Drosophila melanogaster: one gene and its partners. The protein of the gene in region 1 purifies or fractionates together with the protein of each later gene. This does not show direct contact. Each region holds a gene or a part of one and is shown in the gene's direction. Other genes may lie near its edges.

The links.
Region 2: the proteins of CG3776 (region 1) and Lsp2 purify together in Drosophila melanogaster (affinity purification with mass spectrometry, with the first as the bait; one study listed by BioGRID). This does not show direct contact.
Region 3: the proteins of CG3776 (region 1) and Lsp1gamma purify together in Drosophila melanogaster (affinity purification with western blotting; one study listed by BioGRID). This does not show direct contact.

The regions. Positions count from the first base shown.
Region 1 is NT_033778.4:24,966,937-24,973,168, forward strand, and holds CG3776 (uncharacterized protein), read left to right. Parts: upstream 1-2,741; 5' UTR 2,742-2,810; intron 2,811-2,874; exon of another isoform or gene 2,875-2,876; 5' UTR 2,877-2,910; coding exon 2,911-3,264; intron 3,265-3,316; coding exon 3,317-3,612; intron 3,613-3,668; coding exon 3,669-3,810; 3' UTR 3,811-3,919; downstream 3,920-6,232. Other genes in the region: cGlr2 (cGAS-like receptor 2), read right to left, coding at 115-310; RpL19 (ribosomal protein L19), read right to left, coding at 1,616-2,115, 2,182-2,288, 2,533-2,537; Phk-3 (pherokine 3), read right to left, coding at 4,003-4,368.
Region 2 is NT_037436.4:12,126,417-12,133,996, forward strand, and holds Lsp2 (larval serum protein 2), read left to right. Parts: upstream 1-2,976; 5' UTR 2,977-2,993; coding exon 2,994-5,099; 3' UTR 5,100-5,453; downstream 5,454-7,580. Other genes in the region: Ir68b (ionotropic receptor 68b), read right to left, coding at 1-978; CG34241 (uncharacterized protein), read left to right, coding at 1,683-1,712, 1,769-1,987; DEF8 (differentially expressed in FDCP 8 homolog), read left to right, coding at 5,807-6,560, 6,613-7,337; CG5645 (uncharacterized protein), read right to left, coding at 7,460-7,580. UniProt on the Drosophila melanogaster protein: Larval storage protein (LSP) which may serve as a store of amino acids for synthesis of adult proteins.
Region 3 is NT_037436.4:63,614-71,175, forward strand, and holds Lsp1gamma (larval serum protein 1 gamma), read left to right. Parts: upstream 1-2,816; 5' UTR 2,817-2,901; coding exon 2,902-3,108; intron 3,109-3,173; coding exon 3,174-5,285; 3' UTR 5,286-5,382; downstream 5,383-7,562. UniProt on the Drosophila melanogaster protein: Larval storage protein (LSP) which may serve as a store of amino acids for synthesis of adult proteins.

The DNA.
Region 1 (6,232 bases):
AGCGCGGATACACGAATACGACCGGACTTTTTTTTTATCATTATGGTTCCGATAATATACATATATCGGAAATTGGATGGAGTTATGTGAAGTTGAGCCCCGTGAATGACTTACCTTCCAAACTGAACTCAGCAATAATGATGTCCAGCTCTGGATTCTCCTTTCTCAGTATTTCAAAGATTTTAGATGTCAGTGCTTCATAGTGCTTACCATATCGTTGTCCCTCGTCCTTTGGAATGTCAACATACTTCTTTTTGCATTCATAGAGCTTTTTTTCCACAAAGTTTTCAAGATTTCTAGACTCCTTCATTTTTTCTACAATATTATTTGATGAGTGAATAATCCCAATGAAGGTAATCACAATTAAAGATAAGGTTTGCTGATTAGCGAACACTGGAGACACTGGAATCTTTTTTACAATCGATTAAATACTAAAAAATAAATTAATTTTTACTTTAGGTATAAACGAACTAATTAAACTAGTATATTAAATACGGTTGCCTATTTTAAGTTTCCGACTTAACACAGCATTAAGATGCATTGCCCAGTTTTTCGGTAGTAAATATCTTTTATACAATCGATTAAATACTAAAAAATAAATTAATTTTTACTTTAGGTATAAACGAACTAATTAAACTAGTATATTAAATACGGTTGCCTATTTTAAGTTTCCGACTTAACACAGCATTAAGATGCATTGCCCAGTTTTTCGGTAGTAAATAAGCGCTCAGTAAAAGTACCGATCGCATTTTGTATAAAAAACGATGATTTTAGCATTAGCATGTCCCAGGAAATTATCCCTAAGAAAAACATCACAAAAACACCGCTATAGCCACCGCTGTTTAATCGCATTATTATAGGCAAAACAAATCACGGTTCATCGCTCTTTTACCGCTATTTATTCACTACCTACATACATATACATATTGAAGGAGGGGACATTTGGCATTTACATCAAAGATTAGCGGTTTTTCATGACCTTTTTTACTTTTTTCATCAGTTATTTATTACTATACATTTATTTGACTTTTTATTTAAATTATACATAGGATTTAAATTCAAGAATACAAATGCATATAGAATTCTAGAGCTTTGGGGACGTCTTGTTATCCTACATAGTTAGGGCCAGCTTATTTTCAGTTAAGCTTGGAATATGGGTAACCTTAAAGTAAAATATATTAGGATAATACAACAATTAAACTTCTGAGTAATAATTGACGCTGCTTGTAAAATGAATCCATTACCTGGCATAATTAACGAATTAAATGCCAAAATACTTCTCACAAAAAGCTAGTCGCAAGAACCAATATATTAAAGTTTTTTAAGCATTTGAAGTTGTGGGGTATTGAGGATATTAAAACGAGGGAAGTGAATATTTTGAATTTAATCACCGTCTTTAATCTGAATTCACAATGAAATGCAACATAAGGGAATAAGAATTAACAAGTCACATTCAACCAAATTCCCTTACGACTGCTCCCAGGGAAAGCCATTAAAAAAATAAGCATGAGTTTCACGTTTGTACAAAATCATTTCGGCCAAACTAAAGGTGTTTTATTCAGACGATAAACAGTACTATCAATATGGAGTTCCTCGACTAGCGAGGTCGGACTGCTTAGTGACCCGCGGTGGCGGCCTTGGCAGCGATCTCGTCCTCCTTAGCATGCAGGGCGATGAGCTCCTGCTTCTTGGTGGCAATACGCTCCTCGCGGCGCTTGCGGGCCTCACGCACCTTCTGTCGGCGAGCCTCGGCCTGATCAGCCAGCATCTTGCTGCGCTGCTTCTCAGCCTTCTTCTTGTGGATGTACTCCATGAGGACGCGCTTGTTCTTGAATACGTTACCCTTGCACTTCATGTACAGGTCGTGGTACAGGTGCCTGTCAATCTTCTTGCTGTCGCGGTACTTCTTCAACAGGCGGCGCAGAACGCGCTGGCGCTGCATCCACAGCAGCTTGGTAGGCATGCGGGCGTTCGCAGTACCCTTACGCTTTCCGAATCCGCAGTGACGTCCCTTGCGGCGGGCCTCGGTGTTTTTGCGCACACGGTAACGGGAGTGGACCACGACGGGCTTCTTGATGATCAGACCATCCTTGATAAGCTTGCGAATGTTCTGACCTGGAATGGGTTAACAACACAGTTAGCTGGGCTGTCTATTCGACCATTTAGACCATTTCTACTCACGCGAGTTTGTGTTAGCGATCTCGTTGATTTCATTGGGATCCAACCAGACCTTCTTCTTGCCGCATCGCAGCACGGAGGCTGCGAGCCTCTTCTGGAGCTTTAGAGAACTGCAAAGGAGGGTAACTTGTTAGTCCATCATTTCGAAAGTAGCGTGCTGGGATGCGCCTATCAGCTTGTGTGTGTGTGTGCATGAGCGTCGCATGTTCGGTTATTTCACAACTGCCGGGAAACAGAATGGCACTTGTCCGCCCGGCAGCTGCATCATACGGCACGCGCTCGCCCGGCACACTTTGCAAACATTTAGACCCCGCGAGCGCAACTTTTCGCTCATATTTGCGAACTCAAATCTACCTCATGCTGTCGACCTCGTCGTGGCTAGGAAAGAAAGAAAAATTTGACAGCCGGAAGTCAGCACCATTTTCTGAAGGGTGCTATCGATACATCGATAACGTACTCGGGGGTCTGGCAACGCCTCGGGGATGTACTAGTTTAAGCGGAGTGGCAAGATTTATTTAAAAAAAATATTTAATAACAACTACTTTGTGCGGTTTCCAGCAGCTTGGATGTGCAAGATCCGGCCATATTTATATTGTTCGAATTAAGTTAGAGCAATTAAGTAACGAAGCTTGGTATATTTTATTTATCTACTTGCGGTCACACTAAATTGGCTAAGAAAAACAAAAACAACTTTTTAGCCCAGTTGCAGCTGTTCAGAGTGCAATTTCTGCAATGCAGCACACGCTTATACGCTGCTTGGGCATGGCCCGGATATCCCTGATGCGTTTGCAGCCCAGACCCACAGTGGCAGCCTCCGGGGGACAGGAAGCTGGGTCCATCTCGAAGCCAACACAACCGGTCAGTCGGTCTTTCGCCTCGCTGCCGCAGGAGCAAGACAAGAAGGAGCAGAATGCCAGAGAGAGCCTTAACCGCCTGCCTCGCCTAATGGACTTTCCAGAGATCGTGTGGCCATCGGCGCTTAACTCGTTAAAAAATTGGATCACCATACAGTTCATAATTCGACCCTACTTCGACAGCGAGTTTCAACTCAAGGACTTCATATACGGCGCCAAGCAAGCGCTGCAGGTGCGTCATGGTTTGTCTATCATGAAGTGTAATGATATTAATTCCCTCATAGGTAGTATCCTCAAAACTGATGGGCGGCGACTTAGACTCCCTGGACAATCTTGTCTCGCCCGAGGCGATCGCAGAGCTTAGACCGGTAATCCAAAAACTGTCAATGACGCAACGGAGGCAGCTAGAAATCAAGGAGAGCGACATATACCTCAGCTTTCCCTATCAGGTAGGTATTATGTTTGACGATGCAAACGACAAGCTGCAGAAGCGTTTCGTAGAGATCACCATGGTGTTTCACGTAATGCGTGGTCTATCCGAGATGCGGGAACGCGGCGAGGAAATACCCTGGAACATGGGGTAAGTTTGGACTGTCACTGCCCGAAAGCTGAGCTCCTCATACCCATTTGTTGCAGGACCCTTCCCGAGTACCAGGATAAGGTTTTCATCTGCAACTACCGTTTTGTAAAGGAGTTCACCGCTGGACACCAATCGGACTGGACCGTAAATGTGGCCAACCAGTTTAGGGCCATCGACCTTATTAACGAGACCATATAACATCGGCCCATGGCTACCATCATCCGCGCTGTTCGCCGACTCATAGCATATATTGGCGTAAGCCACCGCCTTCGTTGGAATAAAAGTTTCGTTTTCCGCATTTAGGTATAAAAAACTAAAATCTTTACTGTGGATCTCTGGTTTAAATTAGGTTCATGTGAAATTAGTGCATTTGGTGGACAAGCAAAGCGCTCAGTGTCCCTCGTGCTTTGCTCTGTAGATGCCTTGGGGATCGTACTTGTTCAGGAGGAGCTTCCATTCGCCGGCTTTGTTGGCGCGAAGGTAGTTGATTACCTTTTGTGAGTTTTTGCGTTGGACTTCCGTGCACTTTGAGCAGTCGGAATGAAGGGCGTCGGGTAAAAGGCGCTTAAGTTCACGACCCTCTGCTGTGCATGGGCCCTTGTCCATCAGGCACTTGAGATAATTACCCAACACTCGGTTGTTGCCCAGAACTTCATCCACGTTGACACTGTCGTACTTGTTGGTGTAGGTTTTTTCAGGAGCAGCTGCCGCAAGACCGACACAAACACAGAACACTAGAGCTAGCGAGGCTTTCATCTTGGAGGATTATCTGGAAAGGCAGGTGGGAAATTCAAATTATTAAAGGTAAGCCACGAAACACATTTCCTAAAATGAGGGATTTTTGGTTGCCGGGTAAGCGGATAATAAGAAGGCGTCAGGCAGTCTCGGCTTTTCTGTGTTTTCGACGCATGTCAAAGAATCATCCAAAGCGGTTAGTGGTCTGCCCACCAGCTCATGCATTATTTATGGCCCTTGGCATATATATCGCATATGCATACTAATTGGCAATCGTTTGGATTTAATATTTTTGAAAAGATTTCACAATTTCACCGACACCACGTAGTTTTAGCAGCTTTCGACTTATTTGCGTCCAATATCCGAATCCATGCTAGCCCGTGGCCAGCTGTTTGGTTTTCGCAATCCTTGATGGGTGCTGCACCTCAATTCCTCGGGTGCTCGGCCTAACCAGGGCAAACGAACCACGGCTTGAACAATGGCTTACTCACTTCTCTTCCGGTGATTTTCGGTGGCCCGGGTGCAGTTGTGGTACGATCAAAGGCGCAACTCAAATTGCGAGCTGTTAGCTCGCTGGCCTCGCTTTTATACCAGGAGCTTTAGCGGCTCGTACACTGAGCGCAATGGTCAGCTCTCTGGCATCCAGAGCTTTAGCAGGCAGGGAGCAGGCGGCGGGTTTGGCCAAGTCGCGGCCCAGCGTAGACCCAAAGCAGGCAAACCGAACCGGATTTTCGATGACTGACTTAAGGTTTTTTCAGCCGAATTTCGGCAAGTGGTCCGATGCTCGGGCCAGCGGTTCAAAGGGTGGAATGGAATGGGAGTTTTATCACAGATTTATCTCTCAGACCCTGGTCGTTTGTTTACTCGTTCACGTACGAAATTCATAGGAAAAACATTGACGTACGTGAAAATTGAAATTTACATGTTGATTTTGCCAGTTGGTTTTAGTGGCTCCGAGACTCACAGCTGCTGAATCGGCTTGGATCAGCTTGGAGTTGGGTGTCCAACTCTTTCCCGACATAACGACCGCATTTGGTAGTGCTAGAGTTGTTGTCGCTGTGTTGTAATCACTTTTATGCATTTCCATTTCCCTTTTAATTATCTTTGGCGTCATGAATCGCACGCACCAGTCTAGACTGAACCAGATTTCGAAAGCTCATCGGTCGGGGCGAGAGTTATTGGGTTTTGTTTTGGCGTAGCTCGACCGATTCCAACTGGTCTGCCTTAGTAATTGGGATTTACCCCTGTCCAGGTGGACAATTCGGACAGCTTGCTGGGGGTTTTAAGGCGACCACCATTGGCGGTCGTCCGCACTTGGAACTGATCTCGCTAATGGAGCGCGGTGCAGCCCGAAATTACTAGTATGGTGGGGCAAACAATAATTGGCCATAAAGCCAAAATACACTTCATACCCTCGTATAATTATGAGCATTTTACGACTCTGACGCAGGCGATTCTACTGATTGGCTGGCTCGGTGGATCAGCTCCGCTCCGTCTCGTCTTCGAGGTCAATAAATCACCAGCGCTGACTCTTCACCTGTGACATAACTCTCGTGCCAATTAAACAAACAACTTTTAGCTTGTCCGCGGTGATTAACATTTAAATTGGGGCATCCTTAGCCCCGAGCGCTGGGGGTTCGTATTGATTTATGTAAATCGCGAGAGTCCGATCGGAAAGGAAAAAAACTCCCGGACGCTATGCGCGGCGGAGGGCTTAACGGGTCCAACAGGTCCCAAGTTGCCGAGGGGCCAAGGGTATCTTACCTTGAAGTCGGACAGGGCATCAGCACTGAAACCAGGGAAGATCATGCGACATGTGCAAAAGTTCAGGTTCAGGAAGGAGAAGGAGAAGTAAGTAAGGCAAACAAAAGTAAACAAACCACAA
Region 2 (7,580 bases), on another chromosome or scaffold:
AAGGGTGACCAAGAGCAAGTACCACACAGTTCGCCGAAAGACACGCACGAAGATCAGGTACTCCGGCTGGATTGCGGAGGCGGGCACGACCAGGTGCAGGTTGCGACGGGTATAGGGATACAGCACCTCAACCGCTGGCCAAATGCAGTCGAGCACGAAGCGGGAATTGGGTGCAAAGTGGGTGTGACCACCGACTATGTCGCTGACCACGCCGGTGTAGTTTCCATTCGGAAGGCAACGACCGTAGGATTCGTTATCCTCCGGGAAGACATATGTTACTGAGGCATTCAACATCTCGCCAACAACTCGGGCCGCCACTCCATCCACTGCCTGATAGCCAGCTGTCTCCACAGGACTCCTGGGCATCGCCATCAACGGATCCGTAAACATGGAGAAACGCAATGGGTAGCCGCGCAAGTCCTTCACCTTTCTTGCGTACGGCACTTCGCCATCCAGCCGCTGAATCACTTGGAGACCACCCCAAGCAAAGGGATCAAAGTCAAAGGTGCCATTTTCCCTGCCGGTAATGGCCAATCCGTAGAGCAGCTTCTTGGCCCAACTGCCGCGAAAAAGTCGCAGTAACTGATGCCTTCCGGCATTTGGCCAAACAAACAGATACTTGTGCATATGCTTGCGCCTCTGGTGAGGATTCAACATGTCCAGGATGCGGCGTACCAAGGAATCACCCTTTTCGGCAGCCGGAATTTGAAAGATGCTTAGGCTGTCCGTTCGTCTAAATGGTTCCAGCTCATGTGCTTCCATGTTCCGTGTGATTACGGGCAGTCTACTGCCCACACACCGATAGAGATCCAATTCCAAGGCAGAGTAATCCGCATCGAAGGATGCCGGGCAGCTGGCACAGCGGTACAGATAGGTCACCTGGACATTCTGCTCTACGGCTATGCGACAGGCAATCTCGGCAAGGGCATAAATGCCAGGAAGATACCATTGGAGCAGCAATCCAACCAAAAACTTCATGTTCTACGAGCAGACTAACCAGTGAAATATCCTTTGGGTGAACACAACACCTGTAGAGGATTTCCCATGGGAGCCGTAATTCCCAATTAGGAAAAGCGATGCGTGAGCAGTTCATTAGTTGGCTAATATTTTTGGGGTAACTTGAAAAAAGTTATCAAAACTTGATTTCTACAAAATAATTATAAAAGGAATAAAAGGACATTACAGAAAATGAATGAAAGTAAACGGAAGGTTTGCAATAAAATGGGTTTTTTTTTATTTGAGTTTCTAAAAAGCAATAAGATTATGCATTTATAAAAGAAATCATTTTCTTTTGATTAGCAACTAAACATTTGAACAACATTTTGCATTAATGTATACTTCTAATGATAAGGTGTTGTTTATTCTAAATCGGATGAATCATATTTTGAAGACTTTGCGAATGACGCAGCAATGTGATCACCTTGAATAGACGAGACTCATATGTTCTCGAAGTCTGAATAATATAAAAATATATATTTCAAGATATACCAATACCAATTTCAAAACTTGAAACGCAAATCTAAAAAAAAGTATGCCATGATTATGGTTTCGGGTTTTCATAAACTATTTTCACCCGTTTCGGTTAGGTTTCTTTTCATATCTTTCGAGTAACCGGACAAAATCATTGAAAAATTTCTAAATTTTCAAAATTTGTTTATTTCGAATATAAAAGTTTTTTAACCATGGATAGGGGTACGTCTTCAAATCAGCCCGTAAGTATTTCATTTCTCTTTTGGTCTTTCAAATTTATCTCCGTGCTTTTCTGTAGATCCTGACCACCTGTGAGATGTATCCGCGCCGAAGGAACACGGAGTTCTACAGATCCCCGGAACCGAGAGTCTCCTGCCAAAACCAACGAGCGGAACATCCGGGGCAGATGCTCAACGTGACTCCCGACGAGAATCGGGAGGCCGTACGAAGACTTCCACGAATCCAGCCGCCAAATAATTTGGATAGTGTTTATCTACGCAATGGTTACTTTTCGTAAAATAAATTTTGTAGATTCTGTGTAAACTAAAATAAAGATATGTACGTATAGATATACTAATGAGATCATATGCATTTGCATAGAACGTCATAATTTCCTATCCTGTAATCATATATATTTTTATTTTGAAGGACATTTAATAGCAGTATAAAAACCGAGGACTGAAATGGGTCTGATTGATTGATATGTTCTCCATTGACCTGCGGATCATTCGATGGTCCATTGTTCTTTGTTGTCCGGGATTTGTTGTCGCAGCAACATGATGCTCCGTGTTTTGCAATTCGGAATATTTTTAGCATTGATAAAGAATCGATGCGGCGAACAAAGCAAACTTATCAAGGAAGCCGCCTGGTAACACCTCAATTGACAGGAGATCAGGTGGCCATGTAATCTTAATCACTATTTGAAATAGGTTAATCAAGGGGGCCCGTCAAACACCTGTTGTTGATATGTGTGAAAAAAGCACGATCATCAGTTTGAAATGGAAAAATGGGGAAAAATGAAAGTCATTACACGGCGACAAAATAGGTGTACCAATTCACGTTTTTAATGTGCTGTGGTATGAACTTTTTAAGTTGACAATGCAAGTGGGTTTGCTTATAAATAGTATCAATGTAATCGTGATATTTTGGGCATTCTTTTTTTTAGACTCTCCTATTTAGACAGCTGGAGAAGGTGTCTCTGGAGCGAGGAAATCTTAACTGGATCTTCCAGCTGCTTCACCTAACCACCAGTTTCTAGTGGCTCACTCTTGAATTTAGATAATGATGTAGGATTGATCTTGGTATGGCCGCCTAATCGTCGGTCTTATCACCTGCAATTATGGATGCAGCATGGGCGCTAAGATTGAGAGCTTCGCGGGTCGTTCAGATCCGGCGATGGCGCGGATCAAGGCTACGGATGCGACCGGTCATTGGCCGGATTGCAATCTGCGTATCGCCGATCCGGGGGTATAAATACTGGCTACCGATCATTGCAGCGTTACGATTCGAATCGACTCGAGAAGATGAAGTCGTTCACGGTGATTGCGTTAGCTGCAGTGGCATTGCTGGCTACTCTCGGCCAGGCCAAGCACCTGGACTCCAAGGTGGCGGACAAGGACTTTCTGATGAAACAGAAGTTCATGTACCAGATCCTGCAGCACATCTACCAGGACGATGTGTTCACCACGCCCTTCGGGGGCAGCTACGTGGAGTACAAGCCGTGGGAGCACGTGGCCGACTATGTGCACCCGGAGATGTTGGAGCACTTCTTCGAGCTGTGGCAACACCAACCCTTCACCGATGACATGGTGTGGTCGGTGATGTACGACAAGCACGAGGAGTATGTGGTGGGTCTGGTGCGTCTCTTCTACTTCGCCAAGAACTGGGAGACCTTCCAGCACGTCGTCTACTGGGCCCGCCAGCACGTAAACAAGCAGTTGTTCGTGTACGCCGTGACCATTGCCAGTTTGTTCCGTGATGATATGCAGGGAGTCGTCCTGCCGGCCCACTACGAGATCCACCCATGGAGCTACTTCGATAGCCAGGCACTGGAATGGGCTGAGCACTACAAAATGCACGGCTTCCATCATGTCAAGCAGATGGACAACATCTACAACGTGGTGATCCGTACGAACTATTCGAACGTGCACGGTTCCCTGAACTACGATCACGATTTGGCCTACTACCTGGAGGATGTTGGCTTCAATGCCTTCTACTACTACTTCAATCTGGACTATCCGTTCTGGACGAAGGGCGGCGAGGAGCATGTCCTTAACAAGGATCGTCGCGGTGAGCTCTACCTGTATGTCCACTGGCAATTGCTGGCCCGTTGGTACCTGGAGCGTCTGTCCCACGATCTCGGCGAGGTGCCCGCTTTCAACATGTATGTGCCAACCGAATCCGGCTATGCCAGTAACCTGCGCACCTACTACGGCGTACCCCAATGGCACCGGGAGAATCACCACAGCTTCTACCACGAGCACAACTACGAGCACATCGAGCATGTGGAGATGTACACGCAGCGTGTCATGGACTGGATCCACAAGAACGAGAAGTTCGATGTGGAGACCATCAATGTGCTGGGCAACATCATCCAGGGCAATGCGGACAGCGTGGACAAGAAGTTCTACGGCAGTCTTGACAAGCTGTACCGCTTCATTGTGAACGAGGGCCACCATTATGGCCATGGTGACGAGAGCTTCCCTGGCCTTTTCATGCACTACGACACCTCTATGCGCGATCCGATCTTCTACGAGGTATACAAGACCATTGTCAGCCACTACTGGCATCTGATGGAGACCTATCCGGAGTACCACAAGAAGGATTACGCCTTCGAGGGTGTCCACATCGATGCCGTCCACATGCCCGAAAGTCTGACCACCTACTTCGAGCACTTCGACTCGGACATCAGCAATGCCGTCAATGTGGAGCCCGCCGTTGAGGGATCCGCCGATCCGTTGTACACCTTCGGCAGGAACTCCCACTACAAGGGATCCAGCTATGTGATCAAGGCCCGCCAGCAGCGTCTCAACCACAAGCCCTTCGAGTTCACCCTGGACGTGACCTCGGACAAGGCTCAGGATGCCGTTGTGAAGGTCTTCATTGGACCCAAGTACGATGAGCACGGACACGAGATCCCACTGGAGCACAACTACCAGAACTTCTTCGAGCTGGAGCACTTCAAGGTGCATCTGGAGGCGGGCGTTAACCACATCAAGCGCGCCAGCGGTGACTTCTCCTTCTGGGTGAACGATCGCACCACCTACCTGGAGCTCTACCAGAAGCTGATGGACGCCACCAACAGTGACTACAAGTTCAAGCTGGATCAGTCGGAGGCCCATTGCGGCGTGCCCAACCGAATGATGCTGCCGCGCGGCAAGAAGGGCGGCCAGGTGTTCCAGTTCTTCTACATGGTCTACCCGTACCACCAGCCCGAGGTTGCCCAGTTCACTGGCTACGATCCGGTGGTCAGCTGCGGCGTGGGACACGGTTCCCGCTACGTGGACGCCCTGCCCTTCGGTTTCCCCTTCAACAGGCCGGTGAAGCATGACTACTACTTCGATGTCCACAACTTCAAGTTCGTCGACGTGAAGATCTTCCATCGCGACGAGCACACCAATGTGGTCTAGATCCTGGACCCAACGAATACGAACCCCAAAACGAACCAACGATATTGGATAGATTACATATGTTTTCCTTGTTATATCTTTGTCTGCATCCACTTACCCCATAGAGATCGTAATTTAACTCAATTTTTACCCAGCTTGTCAGTCCACCTTGTGACCATCGAACAATAAACGTATTCAACACAAGTCACTCTCTTTTCAATTTTTCAAAATATATTTTTGGTTTTCTAGTTATTTTCCTCTACTTACAGAATATATGTAAATAGAAGGAACAATAGAATAAAGGGCTTATTGATACTAGTTTTAAAGCCTACAGTTTTTAGCAGACGAATTTTCAAGTTAAAAATAGGCATTTTTATCTGGAATAAACACAATAGATTGTTAGATTTCTTAAATTACAATTTAATATTAAATGGTAAAATATGGTAACAAAAATATTTGCTTTATGCAAACCACGCTTGACATATTTCAGAATATGGTTTCAAATTGTATCATATTTTAAAAATATTAAAAGTTAAATTCAAAATATTTATAAATAATTAACCCTCACATTTTTTCTTTCACTGTATTAAGGTGCATTCCAGGGATGCGTACAACCACCTGCAGTTTGCCCCGTGAACGATAACTAGTTCGCTCATCTGCACCAATTGCTCGCATCCCTGGTCGCTAAAAAAACACACAAAGACTTGTTTTGTTGTTCTTCCCCAAAAATGAGCTCCTGGAAGGACAGTCTCACGAGCATTCCGGGCACGGTGGCGCAGTTGATTAACGAGAGCGCCAGCAACCTGTTACACGCCTCATCCACGCTGGGATCAACAGTTGGCCTTGGAGGCTCTGGCTCCACTGGATCTGGATCCGAGGCCGGAGGCTCCGAGGAAAGTGGTCCACAAGGTGCGGAGTACAGGGCGTTGCCCATTCCCGCGTCCTTGGTGCGCGAGCAATGGCGCCTAATCTTCACCAGCGATGCCAATATCCAGGATTTGCAGGCGGCCATCGCCCATTGCAGAGATCTCGTCCTGCTGAGCGAGGAACTCAGCGAGGAGCGTCGCTGGTTGGTGCGGCACCTGGTAGATTTGCGATACTCACTGCAGGAGCTGGAGGAGGCCCAGGAGCAGCATTCCCTATCGTCGGACATGGTAGTTATGAATGCCATACGTGCTGTGGTGGGTCATCATTTTGTGCCCCATCACCCGCATCATGGCAAACGGAATCGTCTGCAGGCAGCCGCCAAGAGGAACTACTGTGACCACTGCACCACCATTATTTGGAGTGTGGTGCAGAACTCGTACGTGTGCAGCGATTGCGGATTCCTGGTCCATCAGAAGTGCATCGATGGCGTGAAGAGGGTTTGTGCCCATGTCCTGGTTTCAGAGCGGCAGCATCCCATTTCGGAGATATGTCCAGAAATCGGACTCGCCTCCCAGGGATACAAGTGCGCCGAGTGCGGGACGATGCTAAATATAAGTAAGTTAAGGCTACTCTTTTGGTTCCGAATAATTAGACTCCTTCCTCGTAGAAAATACCTGGATTGAGCCGCGTCTATGCGACTATAGTGGATTGTACTACTGCCCTCGCTGCAACTGGAACGACAGTAACTTTATACCAGCCCGCATTATCCACAATTGGGACTTTTCGCCACGCAGAGTGTCGCGCACGGCGCTCCAAGAGATTAGGTTGTTCCTAAATAAACCGCTCATTCGCTTGGAGGAGGACAATCCCAAGCTGTTTGTGTTCGTAGAAAAATTGTGTGCGGTAAAGAAACTTCGCCAAAATCTGGTGCATATGCGCCACTATCTGGCTGCCTGCAAGATTGCCAGCGAGTTGAAGCTGGTGGATCAGCAACTGGGTGTCCGGCGACATCTGGCCCAGTCAAATGAGTTCTATTCCCTAAGTGATCTCAGCCAGGTGGAATCTGGAGCGCTGAGCGAATTTCTGCAAGGAGTTTTCAAGGCATTCAATGATCACATACGATCCTGCCCCATGTGCCTTGCCCAAGCGTACATTTGCGAGATTTGTAGCAACAACGAGGTGATCTTTCCCTTCGACGATGGCTGCATCAAGTGTGATCAGTGCAATTCCATCTTCCACCGAGTTTGCCTCACGCGCAAAAATATGATTTGCCCCAAATGCATTCGCATCCAAGAGCGGCGTCTTCAATTGGATCGCATGAAGAGCACCGAGGACGATGATGATGATGATGATGGAGTGGCCACCGATGATGACGTGACTGCCGCAGAATAACTGATCAAATCAGAGTTCATTGTGCTGTGTTGGTTTTTAATATGTTATCATATGTACATAAAATGTAACTATAAAATGTATAACTATATATGAACTTTTATTCTTAGATTTATCATAACTCTTTAGTTATCCTTTTTTCCATATTTTTCCCGCTTGTGGAATTTTCTGGGATTTATGCCATATGCCTTTAATCGATCGTCGGTTATTCCACTATTGTTATTTTGCTTGTTTTTCGCCTTAAAG
Region 3 (7,562 bases), on another chromosome or scaffold:
TTCTTAGCCCAGGTTAAGCCCGACCACACCCTCTTGGGCAACCTTAGTTCTCCCCATATGACAATGGCTATTACAATGTCCCCATCGGCATCCATGTTTGAAGCTCCTCTTTTGAATACCATATCAACCACTAAAAGAGTGTGTGCTTTAATTGTAGCCTTTTTTTGTCAAAATATTATTAACAGAAGTGCTAAGAAGGTATAGGAAACATTTTATAGACATTGACGTCAATGCTTCAAAATGGGGTAAAGTGACAGGCAATTGAGCGAGCACTTTTCCACCCATTCGGACGCAGCATTATTAGCCAAGTTTACAGACACATTTGTCAATTTTATGGTGGCAACAGGGCGATGTATGGCTTTCAAGCTTTTTGGCGAAACGGCAATGCGGCATTTGCAATTATTATGAATCATTTCCGGACAGCTTTGTTGAGGGGGTTCAAGTGGTTGAAACATTTAATTTAGGAGGATTGAATGGAGAGGGGTAAGTTACCGTCGACGCATCGCGATGAGAAATTGTTTAATTCATTTTGCCAATAGGGCATACATTTTATATTTTTGTATTGAAATATTTTTTAATGCTTAATACCAATATGTATATGTATAATATACCTTAAATACTTCTTTCTATTTTCAGTTACTTTAAAAATATATATTGTGCCATATCATTAATAATATCTGAAGCGATTCGATATATAAACTATAATTAATATTTCTGGACATAACTCTTTTATTGACTTACTTTTATGTCAATATAGAATATTTAAAAACGGTATTTTGGTTCTGTCCAGTTGTCTTATGTTTTTGTTTCTATTTGATGATCGATGACGGCATCGGCTTGACCTCTCGGAGTACGTTTGATTTTATAGAACAAGTTTTCTCCTTTCTTATACTATAAGGAAAAATTATAAAAATTGCTGAAAATGAAACATGGCTAGAATTCGTTTTTTAACATTTTTTCAATCTGAGAAAAAATTTCCGATTAGTCTTAAAATAACTAAACCAATTCGTATACCCGTTAATCGTAGAAGAAAAATGAAATTCATATAATAAGTAGATGGATTTGCTGACCCGGTGAGGTATATATGTATTCCTGAACATGATCAGTAAACGAGTCGATCTGGCCTTATCCGTATGAACGTCGAGATCTCGGGAAATACAAAAGCTAGAAGGTTGAGATTAAGTATGCAGATTCTAGAAGAAGACGCAGCGCAAGTTTGCGACTACGCTGAATCTACTGCTAAAAACTGCCACGCCCACACTTCTTAAGAATTTGATTTATTTTCACAAGCTGAGGAACGGTAGGGTCGAGGAACTCGACTACAACGTTCTGCCTTGTTTATTTCTTAACAAAAACTTAGTAGCCGTTTGGGTTGGAAACCACCTGACCTTAGGTCTGGTAGCAGTTATTTAATTTATTTTTTTTATTTTATACAACTTGCTCGCTGTTTGTTCCCCCTAGCCCTGAAACACAAGCTGTCAAACGGTGGAGGTGATAAGTCTAATGAATGCGATAAGCTTTATTTCAATTCGCAATTTTCGTGTGGCATTTTGGCAAAAAAAAAAACTCGTCGGACATACATGTTGCCACAAACATAAAGTGAATACATAATGTTGGGTGAACGACTCATACACGATTGTGGCAAATCAAATTCTTTTAACACGGGACGGGGAAAGGCGAGTGAAGATATTTTAGCATATATTTAGCACATCTGTTAAATCCATTTTTTTACTCTCCGTTTTCGGCCAGATATGGTTAGAAAAGAAAAAAATTAGTACATACCCCCATATATAATAAGAAAAAAAGAGAGAGTCAGCAGAAGTACGGGGAGCTTAAGTGTAGCAATCAGAACATCACAAATAGTAAATAAATTAATAATAATAATAATCATATCCAAAAATATTTTTATTCCTAACCTATCGCATTGTTACATCGAGGGTGAAATTCAAAATAGACAAAAAGTTGGGGAATAAAATGTGAAAAAAGTGGTAAAATGTTTAATAGTGTGGGCGTTACTGTTTTGTCGGTGTGAGGTGCGTGGCCACCAAAGTGTTTTTGGTATAACGATAGAAATTGGTAAGACAAACAATATTGCGAAGAAAACCCGAAGCATTTTTAAAAAGTGCGAACGTGGCAGTTTTAAGGGTTTGTGGGCGTGGCAATAATTTTTGGCAATTCGATAAAAATGTACAGGACCAAATATATGAAGAAATATAAAATATTTTTCAAAATGACAGCCAGCAACCATACATATATATAAATAAATGTCGGAGACCCTTCCTTCTACCTGTAACATACTTTTCCACGAATCTAGTATTGGTTGATATATAATTATGCTGTGTATAAGACCAAAATCAGTGTACATTTCCATTGGATTCACCAACCGGATGGTTCCGGATGGTAATGCAAAATATTCATCTAAGAAACGAAAACACCTAGAATTAAACCTGAACTGATATGACTTATGCACATATCAGTGAGGTGGGCAGTTCAAAGCAATCACGATGCTCCAAGTTATTATCGCAGTGCAGTGAAAAATTCACAGTCACCGTCGCCAATTGCCAATAAAGATCGGCCATTATACAACAGAACCGCGTTGAAGACGATCGACGAGGTCGTGGGTCTTATCTTATCACCACCTGAATTGAGGCATGCCTCCAGAATGACGAGGGCATCCGAAGATAATGTGGCCCGCTATTTTCGGCCGGGACTGGACCTATGCGACGACCTATGCTGATGACGGGAGTCTGCCGCTGATATGGTGCAATGCAAGGCTCCAGTCGGGGGTATAAAAGACCCAGTTTCGGTGCAGTCAAGACAACAGACTTTAGGTGTTGGTCGTTGAGCGAACCAAAGCCGGAGCAGTTGAGGAACCAAAGAATAGCAGCGAGAGGACCAAGGATGAAGTTGACCCTTGTTATATTGGCTCTCGTAGCCTGTGTGACTGCCTTTAGCGTGCCCACGCAGAAGGTAAAGATCGCCGACAAGAACTTCCTGGAGAAGCAGAAGTTCCTCTTCGAGATCGTTCACCGTATTGATGAGCCTCTAATGTTCGAGGAATGGATTAAGATGGGCCAAAAGCTGATCACCGACAAGGCTCAATACGAGGTGAGTGCATTAAGAACATCACTTTCTTCCTGAAACCCTAGCCATTTCCTTGTAATTCCCCACAGACCTTCGATTTCTACATGGAGAAGCTCTGGGAATCCTACAAGCTTGGAGCCCTGCTTCCCAAGGGAGAGTTTTTCGGAGCCCTGGTCAAAACCCACCACAAGCAGGCCTACGGTCTGTTCAACTTCTTCTACTACGCCAAGGATTGGGAGACCTTCGTCCGGAACGTCGCATGGGCCCGCATCCACGTGAACGAGGGAATGTTCGTCTACGCTCTTACCCTGGCTGTCATCCACAAGCCCGAGTTCGAAGGTCTGATCCTACCACAGATCTACGAAATCTTCCCCCAGTACTTCTTTAACAGCAAGTTCGTGTACGCGGCCGAGAAGTTCGATTATGAGGTCTTCAGCAAGCTGACCATGTACGAGAAGGAGTACAAGGATATCCTTTACAAAGACTACAGTGAGTTCACCGGCAATTTCTATTTCTACACCAAGGACTGGAAGACATGGCAGTGGTACAAAATGATGGGTCTAGACCAGGAGTGGTACGTCGAGGACAAGTACTTCCTACGCGAAAACCTCTCTCAATTTGTGAACGATCCAAAGTACGTTGATGTTGTCAAGGGCCTAAAAAAATTCTACATGCCTGTGGACTACACCCGCGACATCGATTTTTTCAACGATGAAACTAAGATGACCTACTTCACCGAAGATCTTGGCTGGAATGCTTACTGGTACTACTTGAACATGGACTACGCCTTTTTCTTAAACGGAAAGCAGTTCGGATTGGACAAGGACCGTCGTGGCGAGTACTGGATTTACAATGTGCAGCAGATCCTGGCACGATACTACCAGGAGCGCCTGGCCAACGGTTTTGGCGAGATCCCCGAGTTCTTCTGGTACAAGCAAATAGAGTACGGCTACGATCCCCAGCTGATCTACTACAATGGCATTGGCTACAGCTACCGAAAGAACTACTATGACTTCTACACCTACGGCAAATTTGAAATGTACAGCCAAATCCAGAACTTCTTCAGTCGCGTCTACAAGGTCCTAGAGACAGGATTTTACAAAACCGCCGACGGTCAGGTGTTCGACCTTCACAAGCCCGAGGCTATTAAGATTGTGGGCAACTACCTGCAGGGCAATGCTGACACCTTTGACAAGTACTTCTTTAACTACTACTACTTGCTGGCCCATATGTACTTCGCTGATGTAGACTACAACGACATGGAGGTGTTCCCTAACGTTTTCCTGAACTTCGAGACTATGCTGCGCGATCCCTTCTTCTACACCTTCTACAAAAAGTTCACCGATGTGTTTTACACCTTTAAGTACTACCTGAAGCCCTACACCCAAAAGGATCTTTTCTACGAGGGCATTACCATCAAGGATGTCAGCGTCAGCAAACTGGTAACATACTACGACATTGTGGACTTCGATGTGACCAACTTGCTCAACGACAAGATGACGTTTGTCGACGGCCAGTACATATGGGACAAGGCTCTGTTGGCCCGTCAGGCCCGCCTTAACCACAAACCCTTCAACTTCGAATTCACTATTGATTCCGACAAGGTGCAGAAGGGAGTTGTCCGCGTGTTCCTGGGCCCCAAGTTCGATGAATACGGCCGCGTGATACCACTAGACTACAACCGAAAGAACTTCGTGCAGATTGACAGCTTTGTGTACCCCTTCATTGCCGGCACCAACACTATCAAGCGCAGCTCCAAGGAGTTCAGCTGGACCGCTGAGGACAGGATTACATACACCGAGCTCTACAAGTACGTGATGCTGGCCAGCGAGGGCAAGTACGACTTTCCCCTGGACATTAGCGAGCCGCATAACGCCTTCCCCGACCGCCTGGTGCTGCCCAAGGGATGGGAGCAGGGCATGCCCATGCAGTTCTACTTCTTTGTCTCGCCATTCGCCGAGACGTACGAACAGTTCTCTAACTTTGATTACACCTACTCCTCGGGAGTTGGCTCCGGCACCCGGTTCGTGGACACCAAGCCCTTCGGCTATCCCTTCGACCGCCAGATCGATGAATCCGACTTCTTTGTGCCTAATGGCTTCTTTAAGGACGTCAAGGTCTACTACGTCGACACCTTTGCCAAGTACTTTGAGAAGAAGTACACCCAGTTCGGCACCTTCGACTACTCCATTGAATACTAAGCCACACTGGATCTAGCTCTTAGCAATGTCGCAGGCAAAAAAACCAATACCAAAAAAATATATAAACGAATTTAAAATAAAGAAATACTGAATAATTAAATATTCATAATCTTGTTGTTCGCATCATTAACAAGCCTTGCCTTTTCAGATCACCAGAAACACAAAATGTCTTTTGCACTAAAAGCTAAGTAAACCCGCTTAGTGCCGTAACATGGGCTAATGGCGTTCGGCGGCGCCTGAGTCACATTGAAACCGAAAACTGGACGCTGAAATTTTTTTCTTCTCCTATTCTGCTTGTGGGAAAAGAAATATGTGTAATAAAACGCTGAGCCCTGAAGGCTAGTGGTCAAATACTAAACGCAGAAGGGCGAAGTCCTTGAGCAGGAAACGGCAAGGGTTCGTTAAACTTTCAACGCCAGCTAAGCCCGATACGAGTCCTGATTCCAGTCTCCCTTTTCTGCTTAGCTTCTAGAAGGCGTATGGCGATGGAAGGGAGGCCAGCTCGTGCGTTGCTTTCTGGCTACGCACATAATATCGACGCACTTTTTAAAAGTCTCTGGTTCCACCATTTGTATTTGGTGCGTCACTCCTGCCAGCTTATGGGTATCGTCTGGCGGTGAGGCGCAGAAAAAAGGAAATGTGAAAAGAAAAAAACGTAAAAAAAACTGCCTGAAGCAACCACCACATACAACATCAGCATCAAATGGAGTGCAGAGGGGAAGGCTTTAAAGTGGTATAATGTGGTAGCAACCCAGTCAAAGACCTAAACAAAAGAAACCCCAGACGAAATCTCGCCTTTTGCCCATGTGCGTGTGCGCTCCACTCGTCCCCCCAAGAGATTTGTCTAAAGCTCCTTGGACTTCCTGGTGCGTAACGCGATAGCCTGGCGCACTTCAATCAATTCAAATTCCTTGAGCTTGTCTTGGCCCCAGCGCTCACATTTTAATTGCCCGGCGGGCGGAGGTAGCTTAACCCATAAATTATAAACATTTGCCTAAACTTCTCACCTATATGGTTTCTTTTAGCTTAACCCATAAATTATAAACATTTGCCTAAACTTCTCACCTATATGTTTTCTTTTTTTCCAAAGTTAAATGTATATTAATGAAAATATAATTCAAAATAAATATCGCGAAGAAAGGCTGAGTTGAAAAATTGAGTTGACGTAAGCTCTGTCTTGATCTAGTTTAAATTAATAGTCAAATGCCGTATCGTCAATGAAAAATATTTTGGAAGCTTATTAAGTAACTAACGTTTTAACAACGATAAGTGTACACCACATGTGGCTTTTTTCGCCCCTTAACCTGCTTTTACTTGTTCATCTCGCATTTTTTGTTTTGTTTGCACAAATTAGCAGTCGACGACCCCTATATATATTAGTTTACGACCTGAGAATGGAAAAGCAGCCAGCCACTAGCTCGAAGAGCATGAATCCGGGTTTCAGGGGGGGGGGGGGGTCAGATTGCCGTTTTATTTCACCTTAAGGCTCTTTGGTTAGATGCCTGGCTGTCCAGACACGAATGAACTTAACTGAAGAGCTCAAAAGCCCCAGAGGGAAGTCCTTCGCTTGTCGCCTTATTGCACGGAAATATGTTGCCACAGTTTAAACCGCTCGAAATAAATATGCAAGTAATAGTGATGATCGGCTACTTAATTGTGCATTTAATATTCAATAATTATTTCATTACTCGTATGCCTTTCTTACTAAGGCTTTGTATTCCAACAGCATTTATAGCCCTATCGAGAGATTGGCCGCTCCTCTTTTTCTCAGGGTCTTCGGATTTCTAGTCAAGAGTTTATCTGAATACGGCTTCTGGCACTTGGCTTTTCACATTCTGATTCGTCTGTTACCCTGTTCCTGTAGCCCTGTTCGTTGACGTTAGTTTTTTTTTTCACTCTTTCCTCGGGTGCGGCACCTTTCGCACTGGGCTGGGCGTCCCCTTCACTACGTCCCTGGCCGAGCTGCTACACTAAATTGGTTCTTGCCCGTTCTGTTTTGGTAGCGAAGCTCACAACACAGAGAAGTTTTCCCGCCAAATGTCTCGAAATGGGGAAGCGAAAAGCAAAATAATCCAAAGCGAGCAGAACTCAACTCAACCGAGCCGACTTCAGCAGACAATAATACATGGTAAGTCCTAGGTCGGTTACAAAAACACCTCTGGCAAATGGCAACAAAACTGGCTTGACTCCACCACTAGCATCACCAGAGACCAGACCACAGAACTTGACGCATGGGAGGACAGAAGTTCGAAACCCGGACCGAGGCAGATGCGGGCC